4 linked regions of the Oryzias latipes genome follow. The main gene of each other region encodes a partner of the protein of the gene in region 2 in a complex. Links are inferred from orthologs where the notes say so. Each region holds a gene or a part of one and is shown on either strand. Other genes may lie near its edges.

Region 1 (4,238 bases), on a different chromosome or scaffold from region 2:
CATTTTGTCCCTCGATTGTGGCTCTGTGGCTTTGAAGAACAATTTGAATAAATAATAGACTTGATATTTAAGTGTTTTCATTTATTATTAGATTTTTAAACTGTGGTAATCTTACATAAATAAAAATTCACTTATACATTTTTTAACCAATGGTGATATTAAACTAAATCAACAGCCACTGGAAGGTTTACCATTCCCCTAAATAGCAAACATCAGAAAACAAACCAAAATAATGGCAAAGGGTTGGATCTATTGTCAGAGTGGTTTATAATTGGAATTAGTTTAAACTCATATTCTTACCTTTTGTTTAGTTGCTGTTCAAAGACAAAGTTCTTTCAGTACATTTGCAGCAAGATCTTACTTTATACCGGATGCATTTTATTTTGAAAGGAATTTGTATGCGCTGCTGTCAAAAGGTATATAATAGTAATGTAACACTGTTATAATTATATTATTCCAATTTTTAAAGCTACTTTTTATGAATGAATGGCTTGATGGCCACAAAAAATGTGATTTTTTTCTTCTTTTTCTTTTAACATAAACAGAAAATAAACAGAAAAGTGAGGCTCTCACTGGGTTTTGGTGTAAAATAAACTGGACCATCATGTGCTTCTTTCAGCACTAAAGCTTGCAGACCCCTGATCTATCTGCTTCACTTCTTCCTTTAAGAGGTAGGTTCTTTGGTTAATCTGTAAATTACTTCTGCAAATGTAATCACCCAAGTTCAGTTTAAATAATCCTCCAGACAATTTTAAGTAGTCTAGATTATATGAAATCCATTTGGATGCTGTGTCTCTATGTGGTTAAAAAAAAATGTGAGCTTTGTTAATGCCATGAAGTATATTGTGAAATAACAAAAGAGCATATTTAATTCAAACCTTTCAAAATGTCACAACAAGACAAGAGTAGTGACGTAAATTCATCAATTTATATATTTGTCAAATTGACTTAAAAGACAACTAAAGATGCTAATTTCCCCTTTAACTCATCGACTTAAAAACTGACGGTATAGCATCTGGTATGATGACTGAATGAACGGCGTTCATGATCATGATAGACAAGAAAACCGATTGTTCGTGTGTTTCTTGGTTGATAAAACCTTCCAATTAACTCTGTCGAGACTAATACGGCTTAACTAGTCCATTCTTTCGCCTAAAGAAAATGTCAAACTGACAGCATCTGCAAATATGTCAAAAGCAACGGTCCGTCTAGCTTTTTAGCTAGCAGTTAGCAATAGGCCTACAGCCGGCGCTTTTCCTGCTAGCGCTTACCCTCATCCTCGACATCATCTACGAAGTCCTCCGGGTCGCTGAAGGAAGGCTCCTCCTCCTCCTCATACTCTGGGTCGTCCACCATATCAACTGTATTTCGCATTTAATGGGACTGCGGTTCTGAAAAACCTTTACAGAGGCGCAAAATCCCGGAAAATGAGAGGCTAACAACGAACGACCGGTGAGGCACCATGTGCGAAAATGGACGAAGAGGCGGAAACGTGACGCCGGAAGCGGGTCAGAGGCGCGTTTACGGACCATCGTGAAATCGCAAAGTTGTAAAACAAATGGAGGAGCGACAACAACGAATGCTCAATTAGATTTACTGCATCGAGATGAATACAGATCGAACGGTAGTAGAAGCTACTTTTGCTAGCAACATAAGGGGAGTCACCTGCCAGTAAATTGTTGAAAACTACTTCTTTTTTAGAGTTACTCGCAATATGTCTCAAATACTGACTACAAAATTGCCACATGAAAGTAATTCACTTTTTATCCATTTACTTTTATAAAGGTTTTTTGGTTTAGCTATATGATTTTCGCTTTTGATGAATTTCAATATCGACGATTCGAAGGTTTGAGTTAGTTATCGTGACGTGAGCTCCAAACTTGGTGTATGTTGGGTTTTCCCGGCCATTCTTCAGTATGGATGGAGACTGTGTGTCTCTCCTGCCGCGGGTCTGTGACGTTCTGGCGGCCCCGAGAAGCTCTTTGCCCGATGATACAAGCCTGGAAAAACTGCTGGACTGGTTCACAACATTCAGCAAATCGGGTTAGTTCTGGGAGCTGTTCCCCATACTACGAGTTCTTCCCAGCCAGTCTGGCGCAGTTTTCTTTGTTTATGTGAATTCAATTTGGCCGGGATATAATTTGCACATAAATTCCTGGAAATATTTGAAATTTAAAATTGAAGTACATTTAATAATTATTTATGAAGAGAAGTAGAAGTTCAGGTCCCATTAAAATCATCTTTTGATCAGTTGTAAAATACTTCCCAGTGGTCTTTCAATTATGATTATGCCTTTTTTGGTAACAATTTTAAAGGAAACTGTTATTTTTTTAAGGACATAGTTTCTGCAAAGCAGCAAAACCTCTTAGAAATTTGCATCTGAGTTGGCGGAAGTAAGCTTCTGCTGATTTCCCATCATCCCTTTGTTAACACTCTCTTCTGGTGGCTTACAGCCCCTCACAACCCCAACCTAACATTATCTGTGAAACAATAATAGCGAGCAATATTAAAGCTATCCATTTCCAGGCATACAATTTTGATCCAGATAGACATGGATTTCTTTGTCTGCATGTGGATGCATCAATGGAGCAGAGCAGGGAGCTTGTAGCCCACCCATCTCACTTACTGTGTTTCAAAAGATAGCTTTCTCTAACGACATTTTGTGTGCTCCTGATTCACAACGATTTGAATAAAGATATACTCAAAAAATGCCATTTTAGTTTTCTTTTGTTTATATATGTGTTCCATCATAAGAAAATTACTACAACAACACGTTAAAAAACCCCAAAACACTATTTTCACTGGAGTGGGTCTTGAATGTTTCTGTTATCACACTCTTTGACTGTGTCTCCTCCTGTTGAAGGCGTGTCTCTGCTGGAGGTCAACCCATGTCTGCAGGGCTTCATATCAACTGTAGTTTCCAGCAGAGCTGCAGAGTCCAGCATCATCTCCTTTGCCCTCAAACTCACTGGTTTAGTGGCTGCTGCTGAGGATGGCTTCAGAGCTCTCCAGGTAGGCCTCATATCTCCTGCATTTCACCAACATCACACAGCCATCCACAACACTGATAATGATGATGATGCTCTCGCCCCCACAGGCGAACTCTGTCCTGGACCTCGCCTTTAACCCTCAGCACTGGCGTGAAGATGGACTTTGGGATGATCCTTGCGTCCGCATCGGCTGGATTCAGGGCTTCAGCACAATGCTGCAGCACAGACAGGCTTTCAGTTTCTTTGTTCAAGCAGGTAACTCGTCATAAAAGCTGAGCTCTCTTCCAAACATGTAATGACCGTGACAATTTTTGGGCTAAAAGTCACTCTGGTGCATAGTAAATAAGATACTATAAGATAATAATAACAAATTCACATATAAGTTGCACTAGAGTAGAAGTTGCACTTTTTTGGGAGAAATTTATTTTACAAAATACGCGACCAAGAACTGAAATTTCATCCTGAAAGACAAATCATAGGGATGAAATAGACAACAAAAATAGACTGAAAATATGCACACGCTTCACTACTGTAACACGTAGCTTCATGAGACATTGGAGGAATTGAATAATCTAGTATATTGAACAATCGTTCAGATAACCATAACATAAAGAGCGCACTAAAAAATCAACTAAACTCACTATATCACTTAAAATCACTAAATCTGTTGAATTCTTCATTATCTGTGTCACTTTGGAATAATTCTGCCCAAGCCCGCCGTAGACTGAGCGGCCCTACTTCTTTAGCGTTGCTGTCAGTAGCAAATACTGATACACACCTACACTGCCCTCTAGTGGCTGTTAGTGGAAAAAGAAGAAATACACAAGCATATTTATTTAACCCTTGTGCTATCCTAGGCACAAGGGTTAAAACAAGGGTTAAAAAAAATCACGTAGAAGTCACATCCCCGGCCAATTATGCAAAAAAAATAAAAAATAAAACGCGCCTTATACGCCAAAAAATGTCCAATAGCTGTTTATTTTTCAATAGACAATTGTGGGATTTTGGCTCCTTGGAGCCAGTGGGTACTTCCTGTGAACTCAATCCAGTTATCATATATAGTTGATATAACTATACTGCGTCATGTTGCAGCAGGAAACAGTTGGAACTACAGATCTTATAACTTGATACCATCTTGTACTTCTGGTAGTGTCATCATCTCCCTTTAATGCTTCTTTCCTTAGACTCCATCAAGCCCCTCCTTCAGCTCCAGACAGACACAAGCTTATTTGTGGCTTCAGCTGCCAG
Region 2 (3,050 bases):
ATCAAGGTCATAAGTGCCATCCTGGCCATCACGGTGCTCTGCTTCCTGCCCTACCACGTGATCTACCTGCTGCACCTCCTGCAGCGCATGGACATCATTCAGAACTGCTCCGCCCGCAATGCCATCTACAACGCGCGGCGGGTTACCATGGCGCTCGTCACCCTCAACACGTGCCTGGATCCTGTCCTCTACTACATGACCACCAACCACTTCAGCTGGAAGGCTTTGAAGACAACGTGGCTGTGGGGGATGGTGAGCAGGAGGAGGGGCATCTACACCATCACCATCAGTGAGGGGCAATGACCAGGGAGCAACACTGACTTCTGAATCAAATCACATTTCAAAATAAAAGTTATTGGAACCAAGGGTAGTTCATCAAATAACCACTAGGTGGTAGATAACACAAAGTTCACGTCAGAGAGGCTTGTTTGTCCCGCCTATTCGCACAATTATGGAAACACAAAATCACGGGGGGGGGAGGGGCATCACCATTAATCATGTAAGAACAGCACTGTAAACCTTTCTAAAGGAATCAAAAAGTAGATATAATATAAAAAGAAGCGTTTAATAATGGTGACTTTTCAAAATAAAACAATTTCTGCCTCTAAATTGTTTAATCCACCCATACAGGGAGACAAGCTTGTTTACAAAGGAAGAGCAATGGATTGATGTTATTTACATTGAAGAAGTCAAGTTTTTGGGTGCCAGTTAGGCGTTTGTAGCCTTTAAGAAGAAGAAAAACAAAAAGAACTCAAGACGTTTACTTTCTTGTCACATTTTTGGAAGTCCCTTTTTCAGCACCGATGAGAGAAAACTCCCGAGGTCTTCATCCTGGTGAGAGAAATGCAGTTCTTCTTGAAACCCATACAAAAATGTAAATACACATTAATTAAAACCACAAGTGGCGTTCCCAACAGACCATTTCTTTCAAAATAGCAGCTGATTTGTTGGTTTTAGCTCCATAGCAACAGTTTTACTTTTGGGTTGTTTGAAGGTGACAAAGAGGTTTATGTGACTGATAGAAGAATTGGCAAAAGTACATTTTTGATTTTTTTTTGTCCACATTCCTAATAAATTCATTAGAAAATATACATAGAGAAATACTTAGAAATCCAGATTTTAATGTAACTTTCTGTATATATGCCCTCCATCATGCTACAAGAACAGAACAAAAACACCAAAAACACAATCTTCATTAGAGTGGCTATTTAAAAACACTGTTAAACCACAGAGCTAGCAGAGGAAAAACATTCAAAGACACAAAGGCCTGTATGTGTTTGCTTTTCATGCCATCAGTGCTCTGCATGGAACACTTGTAGCCACAGAAAGTGTCGTCTTTCCACTGTGGGTGACAGAGATTGCACACAAACCAATGGTTTTATAGCTTCTGACAGAGCCACCTGCCTTAAAGGAAGTCTGTGCGATCAGGAAAAGCGGCGTCATCTCCTTACCGAGAAGGATGCCCAGTTTAGCTTAGTCTGTTTAGTTGAGCTTAACCATTACCTATTGAATGCTACGACTGATTTCATGTTCTTCTACAATTAAAGGTATGAAGCCCATTAGGACGACGATTGTTGTAATATTGGGCCATATAAATAAAATTTAATTGAATTGGATTGGATTGGACATCCCCTCAGTTTAATTTGTTTCCCCAATACACAGTGTCATCACTGAGAAAAACTTCTCATCAATTTTATATAAATTACTGAAACATTCCAGCTGAAAACCATAACTGTTTAGAATGTGCAGCAGGTCAACCCTGGTCAATAAAACGTTTTATTTAATTGAGGGTCGACAACAACGTGTTGGACGTCCCCTGTCCTCTGAAAGGGAGCTTGGGAGAAGTTGTCAATCATTTGTTTTGAATATTTCAGGTGGGGGCCAGTAGGCGCCATTGTGCGTTTATTGAGCCATCTGATTGGCCAGTTTATGACTAGAGTAACTTGCAGTAAAGAAATATCGTGGAATAAAATAAGAGTAGCAAGAACATGTAAAAAAAAAGAAAAGGTATAGAACGACTGAGTAACAGCTGTTTATTTCTCTACAGAAGTCTGTGGGATTTTGGCTTTTTGGAACTTCTTCCTGTTTGGAACAAAAGGGGGGGGTTACTCAGCCCAGTTCTCATTTACAGTCAATGATCCCAAAGAGGAACCCCCCCACTGGACTTCTTGTCTTTATAAACTAAATCATGACACTTTTTGAACTTTTTTCATACATGAATCAACTTTTTTCTTTTTATGTTGCTTCACTGAAAGAAACAGAGTAAATCAAATGAGATGGTTACGGTAAACGGCTGATGTTCAGGTACCTGATAACTCCAGGAAAGCAGCAGGATTTTGGCGTTTGCGTCTTCGGCGGATGAGGAGACTTTAATGACGATGGACTCCACCATGACCGTGCCGTCAGGGAGGTGCTGGATGGTGTAACCTTTTAACAGGCTGAGGGAAACGATTACAGAATGTTATTCTGCAAACAAACTTTTTCCAACCAGACTCTAAATTACATTCACAGCTAAAATGTAAGAATTTTAAGCTCAAGAAATTAAAAAAGGAACAAAATCAGCTGCTATAAATGGCTAATGCTTTCCTTTTCTGTGTTTTTCTTTGGACATACAACCCAAATGCTGCTTTTGATGACTCCAGGGAAAACTATTTATTCCAAATTGGAGAGTGTCTTTAGGACTGATGTGCAGCAGATTCCATGCAAAGCTTCACAACTGCTTCTGGCAGCTTGTCTTCACTTATTCCTGATTAAAACAGCTTCCAGTTCTCAGGTTTTTCAGGACCAAAACGTTTTTTTCCTCTTCCATTAGACATTTTCAGTGAGCCTCAGGAAGGACAGGTTTGCTGGCTGTAACTTAGAACTCTCCAGGATTTTCTTTGGAACCAGGTGGGGAAACATCTCCAGCGTTTACATTCTTTTGACTACCATAACTCTTCAACCCTTGATGCAATTAAGATGGGTGTCACGATTCATTTTAACAATGATTAGATTCTTATCTGTGGTTGAAGATACGATTCATAGTCGATATCGGTTCATTCTGAAAGATC
Region 3 (4,296 bases), on a different chromosome or scaffold from region 2:
TTCAGGCGGCAGTTTTAAGCTACGCTGGTTAGCAGAAGAGGGGACAGAAATGGACAATCACAGCAGGTTGGAAAGAAAACATTCTTTTGCTTTTGATACTTTACAACAAAAAAAAATAAACTGAGCATAAACCTGGATTATGTTGAATATTTAAATAAATTAGGGGTGCACATAGACTTTTAGAGCTCAAAGAAAACAAATGTATGGATCCCTGAACTTAAGGAGAACTGAATTTTTATTTCTCAAGTTTTCTTTTTTTGTGTGACTTAAAATTGAAATGAATCAGTTTGATTATCTGCAGAAAAAAAGTAAATCTGTAATTCAGGCTTTGAAATGAGAGTCACAGCTGTGATCGTGCTTCTCCTCCAGGCATCAACTGACTGAAAGAACTCACTGCAACGCCACGCTGGTCCTGAATCTGCAGAAGGAGGACAACGGCAGGAGGTGGAGGTGTCAGGTGGAGACCAAGCCAGGCGAAATAGAGACTCATTGGGACTTCACCTCCTCCTTTTTGTTTGAAAACACCTCCTCCGCCCGTGTTCTGCAGCCTCCTGCTGACGGCTTGTGTTCCGTCCGGCTGCCCATCAGCCGCATTGTGTTGTGTGTGGCTCTGCCGCTCATGGTCGGCATCGTGGGATTGGTCACATGGGTGTCGGATAGAAAGAGGAACAAGATGTTAGCTGCTGCTCTGCAGCATGACACCATGGGAATCAATCACTGACCTTTGAGATGATGTTTCTCCCAATGACACTATTCATTTTCTTCACTCTTAAGCTTTTATTCCTAACTTAACAATCTGCACTTCAGCTTTCATCTGAGTACATTTTACTGTTTTTTTAGTTGTCTAGAAAAAAACTTGATATTTGAATGTAAACAGTGTAAAACTTTACAGGCCCTCATTCTCTCTATAATGGAATCATGTGTTTAAATTTAGAAATTTGTAGATGGTTTCAATATTTTGTTGTTAAATACTACCCCTGTCTTTCTTAAGGTAGCGCGGATTACTGGATTTAACTGTCTTAACTGAAGTGACTTATTTGTTTGAACACATGTTTATACAAGTCAGAGGAAATTTGTAAAAAAATACTTGTTTTTTTTTATCTTTATATGCAAACAATAAAAAATATCATCAGATTTTTGGCTATTAGTGCTTTTATTTTATTGTTCTTCTAAAGTTGCTTTATAAACATTTTGCTATTGTTTTCCAAATTAAAATATTTTATGGTGATTTCAAAGATGTTCTATTTCTTGGCTTGTTCTAAAATATTCATGTTTAATGCACATAATTCATTAATTTATTCGTATTCATTCGTATTAATTAATTTAATTCTAAAGTTAATATTTCTAGACAAGGAGTTATTTTTATAGGCCAAAGAAATATTTTAATATTTTATGAAAAAACTGAAGGGTGTCTTGGACATTCATAGACTGCGGACTACCCTGAGTTCTCCACTCCCGGCTTCCGTAGGAAAACAATGCATTTTCACAGCTACGGAAAGTGTAAGGGGACAATTCTGCGTTTTGAGGAAAGAATTGTCTGTGCGTACCTACTGAAACATGGCAGCACATTTGAAGAAGCGAGTGTACGAGGAATTTTCAAAAGTCGTTCAGGTAAACGTTATAATTGTTTTGTTCGTCAGCTTGTTTTTGTGCGCAAGACCTTAATATGAAGCTAAAAACTGCGCTTTCAAGCTAACAGGACCGTTTGCGCATGCTAACTGATTAGCTGACTGAACAGCAACAGGAACCCGTTGCAGCTTCAACAACTCAACACACATTAGAGTTTGTACATGTTTGGTGACTTCATTTAAGGTCAAGTTGTGGAGCTGACTTTCTTTAATGTCACAAATATTTGGCCAATTGCAGCCTAGCTAAAGTGGTTAGCATCTGATATAGCTATAGCAGTCGTTCAGCGGTGCTTTCAGATGTCCTCGGACTTTTATGTGTTTTCTCCTAAAATTTAACTCTTTTTAAGGCCCATTAACTTGGGAATCAGACGTGGTTCAGATATTGGTGGTCATCTCTATCAGCCAGGTTTTTTCCTGTATGTTCAGGAACTAGTAAGACAGAAATCCATTCTATTCATTAACAACATACCCACATATTCATTAAAACAGATTCTATTTTGATTTAAAATGTTGCAGAAATGTGACTTTATACTTTAACTGGTTGCTCTGTGAATCCTGTTCATGGCTATATGTGAAAAGCTCATCAGATTCAGAGGGGAACTGTTTTTGTTTTTTAAAGTTTTTGAGTATCTTTATAAAGCAGATTTTATGAAAAGAATCTAACTCTTTTTAATTAAATTGTTCTCAGATGTTGAGTAGGAAAGGATGTTTAGGTGGTAATAACACATGTTGAATATATTTTAAAAAATCATAAACATTGATCCTGTCTTTGCATTTTTTGTAATAACCTTTAATCATTTAAATAAAGATTGAAACGTTTTCTATGTTTTTTTTTTTGTTTTTTTTTGCATAAATAATCTTCACTGTCATCGTGTTTTCAGATTCCTCATGAAGAAGCTCCGGCCAAGAAGCTGCGTCTGTCCAAACCCAGCAAGTCTGCTGCGCTGCACGTTGACCTCTGCAAAGCCACCAACTCCACCGACGCGCTGCAGTACCTGCTGCAGTTCGCACGCAAGCCCGTGGAGGCGGAGAGCGTGGAGGGCGTGATCCGGATCCTGCTCGAGCACTACTACAAGGTAAACGATGATAATGATCAGCAACAATGTGATTTTTAGAGCCGCTATGACCCTGAGCAGGATTCCACAAGACAAGATGATGAATGGATGTTGGAGATGTGGGCGGGGCAATGGTCGTTCTTTGGAAAATAGATTTCTAAGATTTAGATTTGAATGTTTATTAGTATAAAATGTGAAAAGAAAGTTCTAGTTGCTTTTAATTTTATAGAGGCGTTACTTTTTATTCTTACTGTAACATTTCAATTGTTTAAATAGTTCTAGATAGTTTCTGAATATTAGAACTCGACACCTTTGTTTGAACCGAGAAATGCGTCACGCCAATGTGTCTCATGTCAGGAAAACGACAACTCTGTGAGGCTGAAGATCGCTTCTCTGCTCGGTCTGCTGTCCAAAACCCGGGGCTTCAGCCCGGACTGCATCTTTGATGACGCCATCAACACCCTCAGCAATGAGAGTGAGACACACTCCATCCCTTTTTATTTTCATCAGACCTCAACTGTCCTCTCTGTCGGCCTTTGTGGCTTCATGTTGCGTTCAAAGACCCTTTACTGTCTCTGTGGACAGACTCCCATCAAGTCCTCGCTCAGCTGTTGGGCACTCTGCTGGTCATCGGGACTCAACTGCCAGAGAGTCCTGCAGTCAGACTGAGGCTGACCGAGGTGGCCTGCAAGGTAGCACACACACAAACACACACTCACGGGCACACAAGCACACGCAAATGCAGATGCACTCACAGACATTTACATATATAAAAAGAACACACACACACACACCGATGCACGCACTCATACTCATGCATTTACATACACACATTCCAGCATCTGATAGTTGTGGTCGTCTCCTCTGCAGCATCTGTCTGATACGCACTTCGGGGTGAGGAACAAATGTCTGCAGCTGCTGGGAGGTCTTGGCGTGGCGGACGCTCCTCTGCTTAAAGACGGCGAGGGATCGAGCTCGTCTTCAGGTCTGAATGTCTTAAAGAGGAAACTCTGCAGGCTGTTCAGAGCTTTTCTTCTGAAGCATAACATGACAGCCGTTTGGGTCAGGATGGGTTCTTATTATGCCTTTGACTTGAACAACAGGAGCTGTGAGAGAAGTTCAGACCATCATCAGCGATTACTTCGCAGACCAGGACCCCAGAGTCCGCACCGCAGCCCTGAAGGCCATGGTAGGTCACAGCGGAGCATCTTTACCTGCCAAAAACCTCCACACCGGACGCTGAACAAAGATCCCACGAAGTGCATAACTAATCTGAAGACTTTGTTTGTTTCAGCTGCAGCTTCACGAGAGAGGAATGAAGATCCATCAGATCATCTATGAGCAGGTAGGAGCTCAGGTTTATAGTTTTCACATTTAGGTCAGATTCTGAGGGATTTGATGCTTTGGAACAGAAAACATGGAATCAGTGAAGAGATTTCAGATTACTAGGTTTCACTCACAGCTGAAAAATATGTTTATTTCTTTATTTAACAACTAGTTTTAAGATACTAATTATTTTTTAAGTGTTGCACCTTTCCAGCCAGTCAGAGGCCGGGCCCATATAAAAACATATGTAGTTCAAAGACGTAGGGGTTTTTGATTTATTTATTTTT
Region 4 (4,322 bases), on a different chromosome or scaffold from region 2:
TGAACGTTTCATTTGAAGAGCAACAGAAGATAACTTCACAAATTAACCTATTATTTATTCAAATGGTTATTATTTTTCTTCAATTCCAAAGAGCCACAATAGAGGGATAAGAGAGCTGTGAGGCTCTGGAGCCTCAGGTTACCATACATGCAGCTGAAAGTCTTGCCTGAACCGGAACTGCTGGGTTTTAGACGGCCTCAGCAAACCTGACTCCGTTTCTCATCTGTCAGAATCCAGGAAGAGGAGAATGACAGAGCTGCTGAAGAGGAGGAGGAAGAAAAGGAAAATAACAGCTGTGGCGATGGATTGCGGCGCGGCGTGGGCAGGAAACTGTCACTGGTCCATAAGGAGCAGCAACAGTGACTGGTATACTTAAAACTCAAAAACTCCTGTCGAAACTGATGTTTCCTTTCTGAGGAGGGACAATGAGCCCAGGTGTTCCCTCCTCAAAGACAGATAAAAGACGTTGAACCCCAGTCTCTGAACTCACCGGTGAATTGGACAATCACATCGGCTGTTGTGACACATTATTGTGATATCCTTTGGATAAACTTTGGATACACTTCATGGATCTACGCCTTTTTTTATTTTTTATTTTTACATTTTCCACTATGTTTTCACCCTATTTTTGCTTTGTTTGTAGATTTATACACTCTACATGTTTTGTCATAAAACATATAGAGTATGAAAGCGCTTTGAGTGACTTGAAAAGCACAGATAAATCCAATCCATTATTATTATTATTATATAAAACTGTTTGATCTAAAATTGGTTGTGATTTCTGCAGCAGAGAAATTAGATTATTGTGTGACATAATCAAAAATGTATTTGCGAAAAGAGAAGCTGGGGTTGTACTTAAAAGCATTGCAACAAGAGATCATTTTAAAGATAAATTAATTGAGAAAATTGTAAAGTAGAAAAAAAATTGCCCGGCCCACTAAGAATTAAACATTGGACTATTAAACTATTAAACTTGTCAGAAATATTATTAATTTAAAGCTGGGTTATCCAAAATCTAAAGATTGACTAAATTTGAGGTTGAGAATCACAATAAATACAATTACTGAAATATATATTGATTAGATTTCTCCCAATTAGATGTCATTATCTGATAAAGAATACCCAGTTTTTAATTTTGAATACTCACCTGAATAATTTAAATCTAAAAAAAAGTGAGATAAGAACTTGATTTTAGGCTTTCATAGAATCATTTCCTAAGTCAATACAACATCACAGTGCCTCAGAAAGAATTTTTGCTGGTTATTAGATCAATTCCAATACATTTATTTTCATCAAATTAGAATATCTTAATTAAAATCAAAATATGATTTTCATTGGGGAGGGGGGTATCCTTATTGATAAGAAGTTTACAAACATGTTTATTTTAGTATTTTTATTTAGCAGTCTCTTATTTTTTATTTTTATTTTAATTATCCTTTTTTATTTCATTTCATTGTTTTATGTTGGATTGACTACTTTGTAACAACATATTGTTAACATTTGTTAACACATTGATTTGTTCGAAGACATTTTGATTACTGTATTGTGTTTGGAAAATGAAAAAAAAAATCCTTTAGGTTTGCAACGTGGATGCAGTAACCCTCCTTGCCAGCAGGTGTCAGTATCGAGTTCACAGAAGAGTGAAAGCCGCAGACAGACTCCGGAAGCGCGGATTTTCCTGCAGCGGAGAGATGGAAGCCTCGGAGTTTGAGGATGTTTTGGATGAATGGTTTATAGAATCCTTGACAGCGTGAGCAAACTTCCCATCTGCATTCTGTCATCATGTTTAAAAGTCGTTTCATAAAATAAAATCCATGAAAATATTTTTTCTAAAATCCTAGAGAGGATTTGAAACAAACAGACCTTGAAACAAGTATCTTTGACTCACAGTCTCCATAAAATGTGTTAAAGTGTAGATTTAAAAATGGGATTGAAGCATATTCCAAAAACATCAAATGGGGAGCAATGTCTGAACTGTAGACACACACTCGCACATTTTCCTGCAGGGCTGATGATGTATCTACAGATGTCTGTGTTTCCTTCCTGCAGGTACAAAGATCTCCATGTTTATCAGCTGGAGCATCCCACCCAGGTCATCGAGTGGACATCTGGGAAAAGTGAGTGGAAAACAGGGAGTGCGTTTATGCAAAAAAGCATTTTCTACTTAAAATATTACTTTTTGCTGCAACAATGAGTATTTTAAAAAAATCTAAATTATGTTTTACAGCATTGACAAAGTTAAAGGACTTTCACTGCTCACAGGCTGGTCTGGCTCTTTTTTCTTCTTCTCTCCGTTCGTTTCAGCCGTTTGCGTGGCGGGATACGGTTCCTCCAAAAACCAGCTCTTGGAGCTTCGATTACCACTCAAGCTTTTTGCAGAAGAAAACAAGGTAACAGTGAAGAAGACAAAAGCTTTTATAGTGAAGCGCCGTTTCCAGCTGTCTCTGAACTTTTGTCCCATTTGCTGAGTTCAGGGTCTCTGTGCAGAGCGGGATTTCAAACTTCTCCATGGTGGTTTCTCAGACGGGCCAGTTGGCTGCCTCAGACATATCCCAGCATCCAGGTGAGCTCAAACATCTGTCTTCTCAGACAGTCAGTTTTTCTTCCTCCTGCTCAAACCTGAACTGTTTTCTGAAATGGGTTTTTGATTTCTGGAAAAACTAGCATTGAACTAGTTTGGAGTTTTGAATCAGACTCTGAATGTGTGACTTTCCTCACACCAAACAAACTTCATGAGGAGTTGAATTAATAAAGGTGACTACTTCTTTCTTTTGAGGCAGACTGATTGTGACCAATGATGGACAGGGGACTGACCTGCAGGTGTGGGACCTTGGAGGAGATGACAGTGGTGAGATTTATGTTAAATATTCTCTCTTGTAGCGTGAATTTAAAAGTTTAAAAATTTAGTTTCTCATTAAACTTAAAAGGGTTAAACATTTCCAATACTGCCACTGACGTACTCATCCTCCTTTGGAGGAGGAAAAATCTTCATTTCCCCTCCTTCCCTGAGAAAAACTCTGACAAAATAAGCCAGATATATTAAACTTTAATACCATATCAAAATCTTAAACATTCCTGCTGCTAGAGAATATAAACAAATTAAATGAAGGATTAATTACTTTGAAGAACAATAACATTGAACCTATGTGCAAAAACTTGTGTTAATGGCTTCAATGTGCCTGCTTTGTGCCACAAATCTTTTCAAGACGAGGTTGCAGGTTTTCTTACTTCGACTCTCGAGTCCTGCTCAATATTGAGCCTAGCTCTGTTCTTTATTTTCCAAGTGGCAACAGCAGAAAAGTCGATCTCACAAAGATAGGACGTAGAATGGAAGCAGAACGCCCAAAGTCTTCTGCCCCATGAGTGGATGCTCCCTCTCCACACCCAGCCAGAACTCAGGGAGTATCTGTGCTGTAAACCTCATCCTCAGGGGGGAGTCTGACGTGATTTCAATGAACTGATCCTCCTCAGCAGAGCTCAAACCAGCAGCTGCTGCTGCGTGAAACGGATCTCTCAGCCAGTCGTATTGAGATCTGTTGTCTGGGAAATATTTGAGAAAGAATCCTGGCAAAGAAAAAAAGGAATAAAGTGAATGATCCTTTTTATACAAAGTAGAAATAAATTAAATAAAGGATCATTAACTTTGTATGTTCTCAAACTGTGGGGCGTGCCTCCCTTGGGGGGGCGCTGAGGCATTACATCCATTATACATGCTTTTCTCCATTCTTCAACAAATTTGATCAGAGTTGCAGAGAAAGGCAGGTGAGGGTATCCAAACCGTACCGGTTGCATGTGCGAAATGCGTCAACGTCCGGGCCGCATTACCGTTCTTTTAAGACGTTAAAATCTGTGTCTGAAAGTTTGAGTTTAGTTCCTTCTCCGACGGTGATTGGCTGTCTGCTGCGTCTCTTCTTCCATCTGCAGACGTGATCAGAAGAACAGGAACTGTCAAAGGGAGGGAAAGCGCCCAACAGTGTGGAAGCAGGATTGCAGCTTCACCGTCTTCATCGCCTCAAGTCCTTCATGGAGCAGAGAGCGGCAGTGTCCAGCTGACTCAGCTGACTTCAGGACAATCCCTTTATAAATTAGGTCAAACTGTGGAAACTGGAATGTAAACAAAATACATTCATGCATCAAGGTTTGTAGAAAATCAAACTGATTTTTCCCTTCCATTTTTCCCTTAAACAGAGACCGACACTTCAGATCCTCTGAACTCCTTACAGTTCACGAGTGATGCGGTTTTCCTCGCCGGATGCTCCAACGGGAGAATTTACATGGCTGACACCCGAGTGTCCGCCGCTCCTCAGATGTCACCTCCGCCT

Evidence for each region.
Region 1: the proteins of ints11 (region 2) and brat1 are in contact, whole or in part, in a cryo-EM structure (PDB 8UIB), measured with the Homo sapiens proteins. The link is inferred for Oryzias latipes from reciprocal best matches to the Homo sapiens genes INTS11 and BRAT1. Residues at the interface, in NP_060341.2 of Homo sapiens: Leu9, Val15, Gly16, Lys27, Met35, His36, Met37, Gly38, Phe39, Arg43, Asp47, Tyr50, Thr58, Asp59, Asp62, His70, Leu71, Asp72, His73, Asp87, Gly88, Gln97, Pro101, Ile102, Glu105, Arg108, Lys109, Val112, Asp113, Lys114; in NP_689956.2 of Homo sapiens: Asp25, Thr27, Cys28, Glu30, Lys31, Asp34, Pro117, Ser156, Ser157, Leu158, Phe159, Ser162, Lys358, Ser359, Cys366, Arg367, Arg424, Arg427, Thr465, Lys468, Lys469, Trp514, Glu515, Asp518, Ser519, Glu522, Tyr560, Ser564, Ser604, Glu605.
Region 3: the proteins of ints11 (region 2) and ints4 are in contact, whole or in part, in a cryo-EM structure (PDB 7BFP), measured with the Homo sapiens proteins. The link is inferred for Oryzias latipes from reciprocal best matches to the Homo sapiens genes INTS11 and INTS4. Residues at the interface, in NP_060341.2 of Homo sapiens: Pro183, Trp191, Lys194, Asp212, Gln288, Gln400, Gln404, Lys462, Met465, Ala466, Leu469; in NP_291025.3 of Homo sapiens: Leu159, Asp161, Thr162, Arg167, Tyr203, Gln207, Asp244, Ser292, Gly294, Trp296, Arg299, Lys323, Met326, Ser327, Asp328.
Region 4: the proteins of ints11 (region 2) and wdr73 are in contact, whole or in part, in a cryo-EM structure (PDB 8R22), measured with the Homo sapiens proteins. The link is inferred for Oryzias latipes from reciprocal best matches to the Homo sapiens genes INTS11 and WDR73. Residues at the interface, in NP_060341.2 of Homo sapiens: Tyr206, Thr208, Thr209, Ile210, Arg211, Asp212, Ser213, Arg215, Cys216, Arg217, Glu218, Arg219, Asp220, Leu222, Lys223, Lys224, His226, Phe255, Arg258, Met259, Leu364, Val384, Glu385, Tyr386, Ser388, Lys418, Lys419, Glu421, Phe422, Gln425; in NP_116245.2 of Homo sapiens: Asp5, Asp6, Leu8, Val9, Ser11, Leu12, Tyr15, Gln16, Phe18, Tyr19, Ala20, Phe21, Asp22, Leu23, Glu50, Leu52, Arg59, Leu68, Phe69, Pro70, Glu71, Arg72, Asp73, Phe74, Lys75, Val76, Gly79, Phe81, Asp116, Ser117.

What each region holds. Positions count from the first base shown.
Region 1 is NC_019859.2:21,373,982-21,378,219, reverse strand, and holds the start of brat1 (BRCA1-associated ATM activator 1), read left to right. Parts: upstream 1-1,384; 5' UTR 1,385-1,916; coding exon 1,917-2,043; intron 2,044-2,863; coding exon 2,864-3,012; intron 3,013-3,097; coding exon 3,098-3,245; intron 3,246-4,174; coding exon 4,175-4,238. Other genes in the region: eif3b (eukaryotic translation initiation factor 3 subunit B), read right to left, coding at 1,272-1,374. UniProt on the Homo sapiens protein: Component of a multiprotein complex required for the assembly of the RNA endonuclease module of the integrator complex.
Region 2 is NC_019865.2:23,495,747-23,498,796, reverse strand, and holds the end of ints11 (integrator complex subunit 11), read right to left. Parts: intron 2,439-3,050; coding exon 2,309-2,438; intron 832-2,308; coding exon 772-831; 3' UTR 547-771; downstream 1-546. Other genes in the region: lysophosphatidic acid receptor 4-like, read left to right, coding at 1-303.
Region 3 is NC_019871.2:2,461,015-2,465,310, forward strand, and holds the start of ints4 (integrator complex subunit 4), read left to right. Parts: upstream 1-1,479; 5' UTR 1,480-1,557; coding exon 1,558-1,611; intron 1,612-2,509; coding exon 2,510-2,704; intron 2,705-3,040; coding exon 3,041-3,158; intron 3,159-3,268; coding exon 3,269-3,375; intron 3,376-3,553; coding exon 3,554-3,668; intron 3,669-3,786; coding exon 3,787-3,872; intron 3,873-3,977; coding exon 3,978-4,028; intron 4,029-4,296. Other genes in the region: uncharacterized protein LOC105355351, read left to right, coding at 1-66, 370-721. UniProt on the Homo sapiens protein: Component of the integrator complex, a multiprotein complex that terminates RNA polymerase II (Pol II) transcription in the promoter-proximal region of genes.
Region 4 is NC_019874.2:25,858,691-25,863,012, reverse strand, and holds the start of wdr73 (WD repeat-containing protein 73), read left to right. Parts: upstream 1-1,492; 5' UTR 1,493-1,691; coding exon 1,692-1,750; intron 1,751-2,049; coding exon 2,050-2,117; intron 2,118-2,304; coding exon 2,305-2,390; intron 2,391-2,474; coding exon 2,475-2,563; intron 2,564-2,776; coding exon of another isoform or gene 2,777-2,780; coding exon 2,781-2,848; intron 2,849-3,924; coding exon 3,925-4,089; intron 4,090-4,188; coding exon 4,189-4,322. UniProt on the Homo sapiens protein: Component of a multiprotein complex required for the assembly of the RNA endonuclease module of the integrator complex. Associates with INTS9 and INTS11 in the cytoplasm, stabilizing the INTS9-INTS11 heterodimer and blocking the active site of INTS11.